3 linked regions of the Sus scrofa genome follow. The protein of the gene in region 1 binds, or shares a complex with, the protein of each later gene. Links are inferred from orthologs where the notes say so. Each region holds a gene or a part of one and is shown in the gene's direction. Other genes may lie near its edges.

The links.
Region 2: the proteins of GRK1 (region 1) and RCVRN are in contact, whole or in part, in an NMR structure (PDB 2I94), measured with the Bos taurus proteins. The link is inferred for Sus scrofa from reciprocal best matches to the Homo sapiens genes GRK1 and RCVRN. Residues at the interface, in NP_776598.1 of Bos taurus: Phe3, Gly4, Leu6, Glu7, Val9, Val10, Ala11, Asn12, Ser13, Ala14, Phe15, Ile16; in NP_776590.1 of Bos taurus: Lys22, Trp31, Ser34, Phe35, Glu38, Cys39, Phe49, Ile52, Tyr53, Lys55, Phe56, Phe57, Tyr86, Leu90, Thr93, Ser94, Phe188, Glu189.
Region 3: the proteins of GRK1 (region 1) and RHO are in contact, whole or in part, in a cryo-EM structure (PDB 7MT8), measured with the Bos taurus proteins. The link is inferred for Sus scrofa from reciprocal best matches to the Homo sapiens genes GRK1 and RHO. Residues at the interface, in NP_776598.1 of Bos taurus: Leu6, Glu7, Thr8, Val9, Val10, Ser13, Ala14, Ile16, Ala17, Ala18, Arg19, Gly20, Asp23, Ala24, Glu184, Asp185, Trp186, Phe187, Leu188, Asp189, Phe190, Val192, Arg195, Glu200, Gln205, Met206, Lys207, Lys221, Arg222, Thr256; in NP_001014890.1 of Bos taurus: Lys66, Lys67, Arg69, Thr70, Arg135, Val137, Val138, Val139, Lys141, Ser144, Asn145, Phe146, Arg147, Phe148, Glu150, His152, Leu226, Thr229, Val230, Ala233, Gln236, Gln237, Glu239, Thr243, Ala246, Val250, Met257, Ile305, Tyr306, Met309.

What each region holds. Positions count from the first base shown.
Region 1 is NC_010453.5:78,792,155-78,796,578, forward strand, and holds the start of GRK1 (rhodopsin kinase), read left to right. Parts: upstream 1-1,515; 5' UTR 1,516-1,622; coding exon 1,623-2,321; intron 2,322-3,511; coding exon 3,512-3,639; intron 3,640-4,373; coding exon 4,374-4,424. UniProt on the Homo sapiens protein: Retina-specific kinase involved in the signal turnoff via phosphorylation of rhodopsin (RHO), the G protein- coupled receptor that initiates the phototransduction cascade.
Region 2 is NC_010454.4:54,742,151-54,745,820, reverse strand, and holds part of RCVRN (recoverin), read left to right. Parts: exon of another isoform or gene 1-829; coding exon 830-941; exon of another isoform or gene 942-2,032; intron 2,033-2,887; exon of another isoform or gene 2,888-3,050; intron 3,051-3,670. UniProt on the Homo sapiens protein: Acts as a calcium sensor and regulates phototransduction of cone and rod photoreceptor cells. Modulates light sensitivity of cone photoreceptor in dark and dim conditions.
Region 3 is NC_010455.5:68,907,143-68,911,425, forward strand, and holds the start of RHO (rhodopsin), read left to right. Parts: upstream 1-1,435; coding exon 1,436-1,796; intron 1,797-3,536; coding exon 3,537-3,705; intron 3,706-4,283. UniProt on the Homo sapiens protein: Photoreceptor required for image-forming vision at low light intensity. Required for photoreceptor cell viability after birth.

The sequences.
Region 1 (4,424 bases):
CCGCCTCTGCTGCCTGGCCCGCCAGCCTCGCCCAGGCCACCTAAGCCCATCTTGACTTGGCAGGATCTCCAGGTGACTCCAGCCTGGGACCACAGGGAGCGCTGGCTCAGAACATGCTGAGAAACGCCTTAGAAGGTGCTCCAGCCCGCAGCACACGGGGCCACTGTCCCATCTGAGCCCTGACGAGTTAAAGAAAAGGCAGGAAGGGGCTGAGGTGTCAGCCCACGGTGACCCGGACTCACCGAGTCACCTGCTCAGTGGCAAGGTCTCATTCCCACCTCCCCAGCGGCTGCAGAGGGTCCCCGTCTCCCACACCCACTGGCAGAATCTCCCTGCCCTCTGGACCCTCTTCTCCCACCCGGAGGTGATGGGCTGGCCGGTCGGCTGGCTTTGTCTGCTTGGGGCGTTCTTCACTCCCTTCCCTTCCTCCCTCTTTACGCTGTAGCCACACTGTCACTTCCTTGTCATTCTTTTCCATACCTGTGCTTTTCCATGCATGTCATGCTTTTCCATACCTACTGGGTACTAGAACAAGACGGACAAGGCCATGCCCAGGTGTGCCCCAGGTGTACCTCAGGTGTGTCCCAGTTGTGCCTCAGGTGTGTCCCGGGTAGGTCCCAGGTGAGTGTCAGCTTGTCCCAGGTGAGTCCCAGGTGCATCCCAGGTGTGCCCCACATGTCCCTCAGGTGTGCCCCAGGTGTGTCCCAGGTAGGCCCCAAGTGAGTCCCAGGTTTGCCCCAGCTGTGCCCCCGGGTGTGTTCCAGGTATGTCCGAGGTGGGTCCCAGATGAGTCCCAGGTGTGTCCCTGGCCTCTTCATTCCCCTCTCACCCCAGCCTCCCTCTGCGTGGGACCTCAGCCTGGGTGCAGCCCAGGGTCTCCTGCTTCCCTGTCTTTTTCACCCAAACGCTTCTCTGGGCACTTCTGCTTCTGCCGCAAGGGGTGGCAAGAGGGGAGGGGGCTGCCGTGAGGCTGATCCTGCAGCAGGTGCTGGGGTTACCTTAGGTTGTCAGCGCCATCACTGTGACATAGTTGCTCTCAGGGTCAGGTCGGGACAAATGCAGGTCCTCACATCCTGACCAGTCCCCTGGCCAGTGGTCTCACCTGTAGACACCCCCGGAAGCCTATTCCTAAATGGTTTTTCTCTCACTTGCTCTTTTTCTAAAGGCAAAAGTGAGGCATAGTGGGGAAAACCACCAGCCGTCTTCATAAACTGAGGTTTCTCCTGGGACCCCTCCCTTGAGCTGGGGCTCCTGTCCCTGCGAGGAAATGGATGGATGGTCCAGCCCCTCTGCTTGGGCCTCAGGGCGGACAGGCTGCTCCGGGCTTCCATGTGTTGTGTCTGGGTCTGGGGTGTGTCCTTCCCCACGGGCAGGGCGGCCTGTCTAATCCCTCTGCGAGCGGCTTAGGGATTGTCTTTTTCTGGCACCTGCTTGCCGCTGTGCCTGCGCGTCCTCCACTGCCAGCTGGATTTAGCCTGAGCTGCGTCAGTGGGCTCCCCCGGGCTCTGGGCCTGCCCCGGCCCTCCTGTCCCGAGAGGGCAGGAACGGGCCAGAGGCCAAGGGCAGCCGGTCGGGCCGGCTCGGGGCGCGGGAGCCGGACGGGGAGGGAGGCCTGCGCTAGGATGGATTTCGGGTCGCTGGAGACGGTGGTGGCCAACTCTGCCTTCATCGCTGCCCGGGGCAGCTTCGACGGGAGTAGTGCCCTGTCCTCCCGGGACAGGAAGTACCTGGCCAAGCTCAGGCTGCCCCCGCTGTCCCAGTGCGAGGCCCTTCGGGACAGCCTGGACCTGGGCTTCGAGAGCGTGTGCTCTGAGCAGCCCATCGGCAAGCGGCTCTTCCAGCAGTTCCTGAGGGCCGATGGGCGGCACGTGCCGGCCCTGGAGCTCTGGAGGGACATTGAGGACTACGACACGGCCGATGACGACCTCCGACCACAGAAGGCCCAGGCCATCCGGGCCGACCACCTGGACCCCAGGGGCAAGCTCTTCTGCGGCTTCCTGGACGAGGGGACGGTGGCGCGGGCCAGGGAGGGGCCCTCGGGGCGTGAGGAGGGGCTCTTCCAGCCCCTCCTGCAGGCCACGCTGGCGCATCTGAGCCAGGCGCCCTTCCGGGAGTACCTGGACAGCCTGTACTTCCTGCGCTTCCTGCAGTGGAAGTGGCTGGAGGCCCAGCCTGTGGGTGAGGACTGGTTCCTGGACTTCAGGGTCCTGGGCAGAGGCGGCTTTGGGGAGGTGTCCGCCTGCCAGATGAAGGCCACTGGCAAGATGTATGCGTGCAAAAAGCTGAACAAGAAGCGGCTGAAGAAGAGGAAGGGGTACCAGGTGTGCTGCTGCAGCGTTCTGGGCACGGGCGGGGTCCGGGGCGCCCTGGGCTGGCTGACCCTGGGTGGGGCTCGGTTCCCTGGGCCCCATCATCGCGGGTCTGTACTGCGGCTGAGCACCTGGGCCGGAGCAGTGGGCACAGGCCATGCTTGGCTGCCCAGCCTGCAACTCAGCCGTCCAGCTGCCCTTAAGCACCAGCCTCGGCGGGGAAGGGACAGGCGGTGTGCGGCCTTCCTCCCTGCAGAGCGGCCTCCGCGTTGCTGGTGTGGCTGACGTGCCACGTCTCTTCGTCCTTCTCGGTTCGTCACCAGCATCACGAAAGCCACTGTCCGGAGGCTGTGGGGCTGGTTCTCTAGCTTCTTCACTCTGACTTTCTGGAACGTCCCCTGGCTTGTGCCAGGAAGAGCTGGGGCTGGTGCAGGAGCCTCCACGGGGCCGGGCGGGCGGCACTGTGCTTCCAGGCCCCGAGGGGGTGAGGCGGCTGCTCTGCTTCGTGCCCTCCACCGCGTCAGGCTCCATCCCCGCGGGGTCAGCCAGAGCTGCTTAATGTCCTGCACGGGCCTGGGTCCCGTTCCCGCGGCCGTTCAGAGCGGCCTGTGCTGGGGGCAGGTGGCGCCCCCGAGCACCCCAGGGCCCCTGCGTGGAGCATTTGCCCTCGCGGCCCCTCCCTGGCACTAAGCCTCCTCTGCCTGCCACGGGAGCCTCACTGAGATTTTACAGAGTGAGATGCACCGAGGGTCTCCCCACTCAGCGACGGGAAGGCCTCGGCAGCTCCCAGGTCCTGCAGAAGGACCCTCCCTGCAGCACACACTAAACACGTTAAACAGGCTTCCCGGGGTTTAAAGTGAATGCGGAGGGTGACCCGGTGTGAGGTGGCAGGGAGGGTGCTGGTCGTGGACCCTGGCTGGCCTCCGCCGTCCAGAGCCTGGGCGGGAGGAAGGGCTGGGACGTGGGTGGAAGAGCCGGCGGGACCCTCATGGCGTTTGCAGGCTGGGCGGCCGAGCCCCGGCTGCAGGGTCGGGACGCCCGAGTCCTCAGCCCGAGACGCCCCACTTGCCTGTGGAACCAGGCGTGGGGGGCATGTGTCTAAGTTACTAGCGTCTGCAACCCCCTTGGCATGGATTTCACTGTGACTCTTTCCGGTTTGTGCAAGTTCCCCGCCTAACTCTGGGCGCGTCCCCGCTTCCCAGGGTGCCATGGTGGAGAAGAAGGTTCTGGCGAAGGTGCACAGCAGGTTCGTCGTGTCTCTGGCCTACGCCTTCGAAACGAAGACCGACCTCTGTCTGGTGATGACCATCATGAATGGAGGGGACCTAAGGTGAAAGAGAGGCTTCCCTCCACACGGCGCCGGGCCTCGGCGCCGCTCTGCCAGCCCCCACTGACCGCCCTGCCCGCTGGGCTGCGCCGTCCGCCACCTGCGCCCTGCTCCAGGCAGTGTCACCCTGGTTAGCCGGCAGCACGGCTTGCTGTGCCATACACGCTACACTGAGTAGATGCCTGTGACACTGCCTGCGCCCATGTGACCCCACACCCCACCACAGGGCACCAGCTGCGCTCACCCAAAACGCCGCGTGACCCCGGGTGCCGCCGTCGGCTCGGGCGAGCAAGGCCGCCCCTCTCCTCTTTGGACTCCTGCTTCGCCTCCGCGCCGGCCAGTGGTGGTCTCGTTTAAAGACCTGATTTGTCAGGCTTGGCTGCTCTGTAAAGGGAAGGAGGCCCAAGGCCGGCCCGGGAGCCGCACGTCTGGCGGAAGCTGCCGGGCTAACGCTCCCACTTGGCGCCCCGGGCAGACCCCTCAGCCCGCCTTGGTCCCCCTCTACCCTGGCTCCTTTGGCCGGGGGCTCTGAAGTGATGGGAGGGGGTCGGGTAGGGGTGGGGGGATGGGGGGCTCAGCCATGTGCTCCTCAGGCTGGACCCCGAGGCCAGAAGGACACACAATGAGGGAATCGGAGGCCTCGCTGTTGCCCTGAGATTTTACTTTCCATCAAACCTGTGGGCCCACGGCCCGCGGTTGTGCCAGAGAAGCACAGGCTCCACGTGGTCTGCCCACAGGTACCACATCTACAATGTGGACGAGGAGAACCCCGGCTTCCAGGAGCCACG
Region 2 (3,670 bases), on another chromosome or scaffold:
CACTCTTCTGCTTCTAGCTGGGTGACTTCCAGCAGGTTGGTTGACTCAGTTTCTTCATCTGTGAAATGGGGCCGATAACACCTCATGAAGGAGTTCATATGTAAGGATGCTTAAGAAAGAGGCACGCTTAACAAAGGTTAGCCCTAATCATCCTTATTACCCTCATAGACCTTATTACCCTAAGTCAACCTGGCTGGGCAACCAAGTCCGACCTGGACTGGGAAGGAGCCATTTGATGTGCTACAATTTCTAGGCTGTGGGGTTTGAGGTAGCAGTTCCCTGGGGCAGCTCTTTATGTCGTATTTTTCTGCTTTAATAAAATGAAAGTAATAGGTCTCTGTGGTGAGGAAGTTCAAACAGTGACAAAATAACTGAAAGCCTTCTTCACCCCACCCCCACATTTCCCACCCCTTCTGGGCAGCTCAAAAGTACAGATGCCCTGGGAGTTCCCGTTGTGGCTCGGCAGTAACGAATCTGACTAGGATCCATGAGGATGCGGGTTCAATCCCTGGACCTGCTCCGTGGGTTAAGGATCTAGCGTTGCCTCGAGCTGTGGTGCAGGTCGTGGACGTGGCTGGGATCCTGCGTCGCTATGGCTGTGGCACAGGCCGGCAGCTACAGCTCCCATTGGACCCATAGCCTGGGAACCTCCATGTGCCGTGGGTGCGGCCCTAAAAAGACAAAGTGCAGATGCCCACTGCCCACTCCCAGGAACGAGGGCTCAGCAGGGCAGCTGGGGCCTGGGCGTCTGCACTTCAACCTCTGCCATAGGGGGTCCCTGTCAGCGCCGTGGGACTGCTGACCAGTTCTTCCTCTTGATCCGGTGCAGGCTATTTTCAAAATGATCAGTCCTGAGGACATGAAGCAGCTCCCCGACGACGAAAACACCCCGGAGAAGCGAGCCGAGAAGATCTGGGGGTTCTTTGGGAAGAAGGACGATGGTGAGTTACGTCTCCTTCCTCGCCTTGGATTTTACAGTCACTGGCCGCGTCCTAGAGGCTCCAAGATTTATCCTTCCAAGTTCAAAGTCCAGGCAGGACAGGGGACACCTCCCACTGCAGGGCTGTCTAGGCCGTCGGGGAGTGGGGGCGGTGCACGCAACGGTCAGCGGGCAGGTGTGTGGCCCTCCTCCAGCTAATGGGAAACGGCCCCATATCCCACAGTTGATAAAACTCCATCGCTGGAGCCCCCTGGTGTCCTAGCGGTTAAGTCGCCACTGCTGTGGCTCAGGTTCCATGCCACAGACCTGGCCAAAAAGCCAAAACAAAAACTCCATCTCTGCCAATCTCGGGGAGAAGGGAGGCTCTAAATGAGGGTGTGCCTTTGAAGAAGGAACCTCTTTTGTTAGGAGAGTTAACCCACATCGTGGGAATAGTAAAAAAGTCAAGGCAGCCGCTCCTTAGCGGTGTGCATGAAAATGCTAAGTTTAGCGGTTTCGCAAGCAAACCATTTTCTTTTTAAATGAGTGCACATTAAAAAAAAACACTTTGGTTTACTGGTTTATCAAAATGCCTTGTGCACAGTTGGGATAGGACAAAGCTCAGGTCAGTCAGCAGCTGAATTAGCATCACGTTCCACTAAATGGGATCTAAATTTACAGGGTTTTTCTTTAGGAAATTAGTTTGGGCCCCTCAAGAAGCACCGCCAGGTGGGATTAGATTGAAATTAGATTGCGAGAGATTGATGGGGTGGGGCTCTGACGGAAGACGGGGGCCGGGGGGTGGGGATCTGGAGGCGGCTGGCATGAAGGCGGGTTGGAGAAGAGAAGTCTTAGACTCTAGTGCTGGGCTCAGAGAGTCTGGCAAAGCTGAGGGGGGTGTCCTCGAGCCCCTTCTTCCAGGAACGGGCCTGACGTGACTTCCTGGCCTTTTATTCTGGCCCAGAGTCGCCCGGTTGGCGACTCAAAGAGGTGACTGATTCCAGGACTGGGCCTCAGAGGCTGCAGGTGCATGATGCCCATGTCCAACTCCAGAAGGACACAGGAAAGGAGGGGGCGTCAGACAGGGGCTTTGAACTTCAATGGCCAAGGTGCCTGGATGATGAACGTGGGAGAAATGGACAGCGAGCCTGTTCAGTGATAGGGCCTGGGAGACAGTGGGGCCTGGGGTCTGGACCACGTGGGAATACAGAGCCGCTGGTCCCTCATAATCTGATTTGGTAGAAGAGAAGGCAGCAATTGAGGGTTTTTGTTTTTGGGTCTTTTTAGCCTGCACTTGCAGCATGTGGAGGTTCCCAGGCTAGGGATTTAATCAGAGCTGTAGCCTCCAGCCTACACCACAGCCACAGCAACGCAGGATCCAAGCCGCATCTGCAGCTTACACCACAGCTCATGGCAATGCCAGATCCTTAACCCACTGAGCGAGGCCAGGGATCAAACCCGAAGCCTCGTGGATGCTAGTCGGGTTTGTTAACCACTGAGCCACCCTGGGAACTCCAGCAACTGAGCTTTTTGAAAACCAAGTGCCTCAAGTAATGAAACACTGCATGGCCCCAACATACCTGAGGAGCCAGTACTGGCCCCTGTGTGATCTCGGGGGCAGTCTCTTACCAGGGTTCGAGGCACAGGCCTGAGCAGGATGTTCAACGAGAGCCCTACAGCTCTACAGTCCGGGAAGAGGGTGGAGAGGGGCCAGAACTAGGGTGCAGCAAGGGAGGGGCCCAGCACAAAATTTAAGGAGGCATGCCTTCGCAGGCGCCAGCCCTGTGCTCACCTGCCCGAGAGTGAGAGCCTCCTTAAAATCTGCAGGGCGGCGCCTCCCTTGCTTCACTCAGATGGCCCCTCCCCTGTGAGCACAGTCTCCTGGCTGCTTAAGGCGTGTGTCCCACTGGCACCTCACCTCAGGGGCTCTTTAACCCACCTCTTGACAACCCTCTGTGTCTGCCACAGGCTGAGTCCCTTGTTCTGCTACCTGCAAACCTGCAAACTGACCCAGGTGGACACTGTAGGAGGCGGTGCTAGAGGAGGCAGGCCTGGCACGCCTGCCAGGCGACCTGTGTTTTCACATGGCCCATCTGCAGACAACGCCTCACTCCGGAGTCAGGTTCTGCGGGTAGGAGTTTCAAGCTGGGACTTTAAAACCCAAATTTCAGGAGTTCCTGTTGTGGCTCAGTGGAAACGAACCCGACTAGCATCCCTGAGGATGTGGGTTTGATTCCTGGCCCCACTCAGTGGGTTAAGGATCCGGCATTGCCATGAGCTGTGCAGCTCATATCTGGCGCTGCTGTGGCTGTGGGGTAGGTCGGCAGCTGCACCTCCGATTCAACCCCGAGCCTGGGAACTTCCATATGCCGCAGCTGTGGCCCTAAAAAAATAAAACCCCAATTTCACCACCCTGACCTGCACAGGGAACCAGCCTGAATCCTAATCTGGCAAAAGGATTAAGGCTGCCTAACAGGCCTGGATCACAGGCCCACGGAAACCCAATTCAGTTCATCCAAGCTTTGCTGAGGATCCACTATGTGTAGGACTATGAACATAGACCTAAGCAGCAAAGGACACCTGCTTCCTTCTAGAGTCACTTCTACAGCTGAGTCCCCATCAGACCAGCAGTTTCCAGGGCCACACCCTGCGTCTGACCCCTGCAATGACATTAGCCCCAAGCACAGTGGCTCTGGCACAGAGGAAGGGCTTAGTGCATGTATTTAAGAGGAGAGAACTGAACTCAGTAGT
Region 3 (4,283 bases), on another chromosome or scaffold:
GTAGGCAGAGACTTGGGCCTTCTTGCCCACTGTGTCCCCCAGAACTGAGCCCCTCCATTTACCCCTGGAACTCATCCTGCTGTCCTGGGATCCGCCCTCATGGCATTTCACATCACATGGCATCCAAGGCCCCTGTCCCAGTCCAGCCTGACCTGACGTCTCAGGCTGTGCCCTGGGTGCTACAGTGTCAGCTAGTCCTATTTCCAGGGCCCACCTGCCCTTCACACAGGAGTGTCCGAGACCACACTTGCTGTGCTCATTGCAGAGACCTGTGCCCAGCACGGGCTTACCACCATCCTCCTGGATGCAGGGTCTTGTCTCGGGAGCCCTGAGACCCTCTGACTCCTCCCTACTTCTGTCACTTCCCCCTCCTTCATCCCTTCTTCCATCTTCACTCCTTCAGTCCATCTTTGGGGACTGTTGAGCCACCTCTCTGTCCCTGAGACCTGCCCACCATGCCTGATAATGCCCCTGGCACTAAGCTCTACCAGAATGGCCCCAGCCCATGTGTGGCCCCAGGCCAGCTGGGCCCTAGGCCTCTGCCAGCCTTTGTCTTTAGTCAATGCTATCCATCCCTACTTGGTGACCTGGCAGAGGGCCTCCTTCCCAAAATGTTGCCTTCCTGGATACTTCCTGCATGTAGACCACCGCCACCCCTGGATGGGGGCTGTTCTTGCCATGGGAGTCCTCCTCCTTCCTCAGGCTTCATGTCCCCAGTGGCCTACACATAGATGTTTGTTGAATGAGTGAGCAAGGGAATTTCAGTTCAATGCAATAAATGCTTATTGAGCTACCGGGAGATGCCGAGCTATGTGTCTGGCATTGGGAAGGTCAAAGCTGGCAGGACCTGGCCCCTGCCCTTTCGAAGCTCATAACCTGGCAGATGGGTGAGGGTCAGTGTCTGGTGACTGGCTGAGCCAGGAAGGAGTAGGTGAGGGGCTGAGAGCAGAATAACCCGAGCCTCTGCCCTCTGAAAGCTCGTGGTGCAGTTGGGAGGAAGATAAGGCTTGCTTGCACTAAGCCAAAAGGAAGTGGCCATGGAGTCAGAGGTCCCAATGCCAGGCCAAGGCCACTGGCTGAGACAGCAGAGATTCCTCAGGGAGAGGAGAGTTGGGCCAGGCTTCCGGCCCTTTCCCAGGGTCCCAAGCATCTCCTCTCCCTGCCCACAGCCTTCCACCTCAAGTCACCTTGGCCCCTCTTGGAAGCCAATTAGGCCCCAGTTGCAGCCGTGGGGATTAATATGATTAATAACGCCCCCAATCTCCCAGGTGCTGATTCAGCCCAGAGCTTAGGGAGGGGAGGTCACTTTATAATGGCCTGGGGGGGGCGGTCAGAGCCCAGAGTCGTCTAGCCGGAGCCCTGCGTGGCCGAGCTCAGGCCTCAGCAGCATCCTTGGGTTGGAGCAGCTGCAAGGCAGCCACAAGGGGCCGCAGCCATGAATGGGACGGAGGGCCCAAACTTCTACGTGCCTTTCTCCAACAAGACGGGCGTGGTGCGCAGCCCCTTTGAGTATCCGCAGTACTACCTGGCTGAGCCATGGCAGTTCTCCATGCTGGCTGCCTACATGTTCATGCTGATTGTGCTTGGCTTCCCCATCAACTTCCTCACGCTCTACGTCACGGTCCAGCACAAGAAGCTGCGCACACCCCTCAACTACATCCTTCTCAACCTGGCAGTGGCTGACCTCTTCATGGTCTTCGGAGGCTTCACCACCACCCTCTACACCTCTCTGCATGGATACTTTGTCTTCGGACCCACAGGATGCAACTTGGAGGGATTCTTTGCCACCCTGGGCGGTATGAGCTGGGATGCCATGGGGGGGGGGGCAGGGGGAAAAGGAGCCAGGAGCATGACAGGAATCTGGGCACAGCCCCAGCCTTAGGGGTAGTGGCTGACAGGCCATTATCCAAAGCCCTCAATCAACAAACACTTCAGTGATCTGAGCCAGGCTGCCATTTGTTGAGGGTGGGACAAGTCAAGGGCCTTGCTAGGGTCACATCGTGGCAACAGCAAAGCTGAGTTTCAAGTCTCTGTAGCCCCTCAGGCCATGTTCCCTTTCTCCCCGGAGGAGCTGTGTGGGGTCAGACCCATGCCAGGCACAAGGATAGAGCTGGGCAGGAGAGACCCCTGCATGGGACTCCCCTCCTGGGCAGGACGAGGCTTCCCAGTCCTCCAGTCTAGACTTTGCCTGCACTGGGCGATGGGCTCAGACCCTACCCCAGCATCTATCAGACTTGGTCACAGCCCACCTCCAGCCTGTCATGGTTGAATGCGGAGCCATCCGTAGGGAGACTTTAGACCCGTGTGGTTATCTGTAGCTTCGGGTGGTACTTTATTTATTTGTCTTTTTAGGTCCACACCAGAGGCATGTGGAAGTTCCCAGGCTAGGGGTAAAAATGGCTGTGGGCTTACACCACAGCCAGAGCAATGCCAGATTCGAGCTATGTTGGCAACCTACACTGCAGCTCATGGCAATGCCAGATCCTTAACCCACTGAGGGAGCCAGGGATTGAACTGGCATCCTTATGGATACTAGTTGAGTTCATTACTACTGAGCCACAATGGGAACTTTTGGGCAGTACTTTTAAAGTATTTTCTTTAATGGAAAAACTGAGTGCCTCAGACCCATTAAGTAGGTGAGAAAACTGGGGTGTGGAGAGAGGAAGACTCAGCTGATGATGTGGCAGGGCAGTGACCAGAGCCCTGGTCTACTGGCTTAGCTCCAGGAATGTCCCACTGGGGACACAAAGCCTGTTAGGCAAGCAGGAGACTCGGGAGGTCGTTACTACAAAACGACCAGGATGATGGGAGAGCCTAGTGCCAGCCACAGGGATGCTCTGCCTCCCGCATATATCCAGGATGTTGCCTCATCCCCATTCCCAGGGATTGTAGCCATCACTGGGTGTTTGTCACCTTCAGTGACACACATCACCCAATCTCAGGCCAGAAGAGTGGCACATATAGGCAGGCACGCCTCTGCCAAACTGCTGCCCTGGAATTCTCACTGGTGTTCCCTCTGACTCTCAGAAATGTCCCATTGTGGTTGGCCAATGCTATGGCCACCTTCTCTCTTGAGTTTCTGGGGTTGGGGGCGGGGTGGGGGGTGTTGTTCAAGGAAGGTGCCTGAATTCCATCATTTCTTACTTCTTCTCTGAGCAAAATTGTATCCAGCTTCCTGGCTCCTAGGCAGGGGTCCCACATGCCCAGGTTGTTTCATTTCCCTGGAAGGGAGGCCTTCCAACCCCAGCTTCCATGAAACAATGCCTCTGCTGTGCCCTTCAGATGTGCAGGGCACATTGCTCTATAAAAACTCCCTTTAGAGCTCCCAGTCCAGCCATGACCCTGTGACCTGATTTTTGTGTCCCTCATGAACCCAGAGCTCTAAATTAACTTCCTAGGACTTACTCTGGACCCCTGGGCCCCTCCACTCAAGGACCTTGCCTTTCTTACCATCCTCTCTCCATGGAATAGGAGCTCTCTGTCCTTAAGCAGCTCCAGGCCTGGGGTGAGCTGACCAACAGCTGACTGCCTTACAGGTGAAATCGCCCTGTGGTCCTTGGTGGTCCTGGCCATTGAACGGTACGTGGTGGTGTGTAAGCCTATGAGCAACTTCCGCTTCGGGGAGAACCACGCCATCATGGGCCTGGCCCTCACCTGGGTCATGGCTCTGGCCTGCGCTGCGCCCCCTCTCGTCGGCTGGTCCAGGTAATGGTACTGAGAAAGGAAGGCAGGGTCCCTGGTGCTCTTCAAAGGGCCCTCCAGCCAGGCGGCATCTGGTTCTAGGCCCCGAGCTGGCAACTGTCATGGGGTTGAGGTTTAGGGTGAGGAAGAGAGGGTTAGCCCCTAATGTTGCTATGGGGCTGGTGCCACCTTCTGAGTCCCCATGTCAAGGAGATTCCAAGACGCCCCAACTGTTCACCTTGGCTGTGCCCCTAATCCTCAACTAAGCCAGGCCAGGTTCCAATCCTCTTTGGTCTAGTGCCTTCTGACCTTAGGTCTCAGCACCTGGGAAGGGCGAACATTCCTTGGGCACGTATGACACTATAGCCCCTGGGAACTGGTCCCGTCCAGCTTCTAGGCCATCAGCTCTAAATGGGACTGAGATTAAGAGGGGGGTTGGGCAGACAGTGGTTTGGGAAGGTGGGCTAGTGACACTGTGGATTTTCCACTGCTTCCAGGAAACTCCCATCTCGCTCCCTGTTCTTCCTCTTGGTCTTTTCGGGGCTAATGTTTTGTCCCTTGCTGAATTTGAGCCCATGAACTCCGGCCCCCTTCCCTGGCTC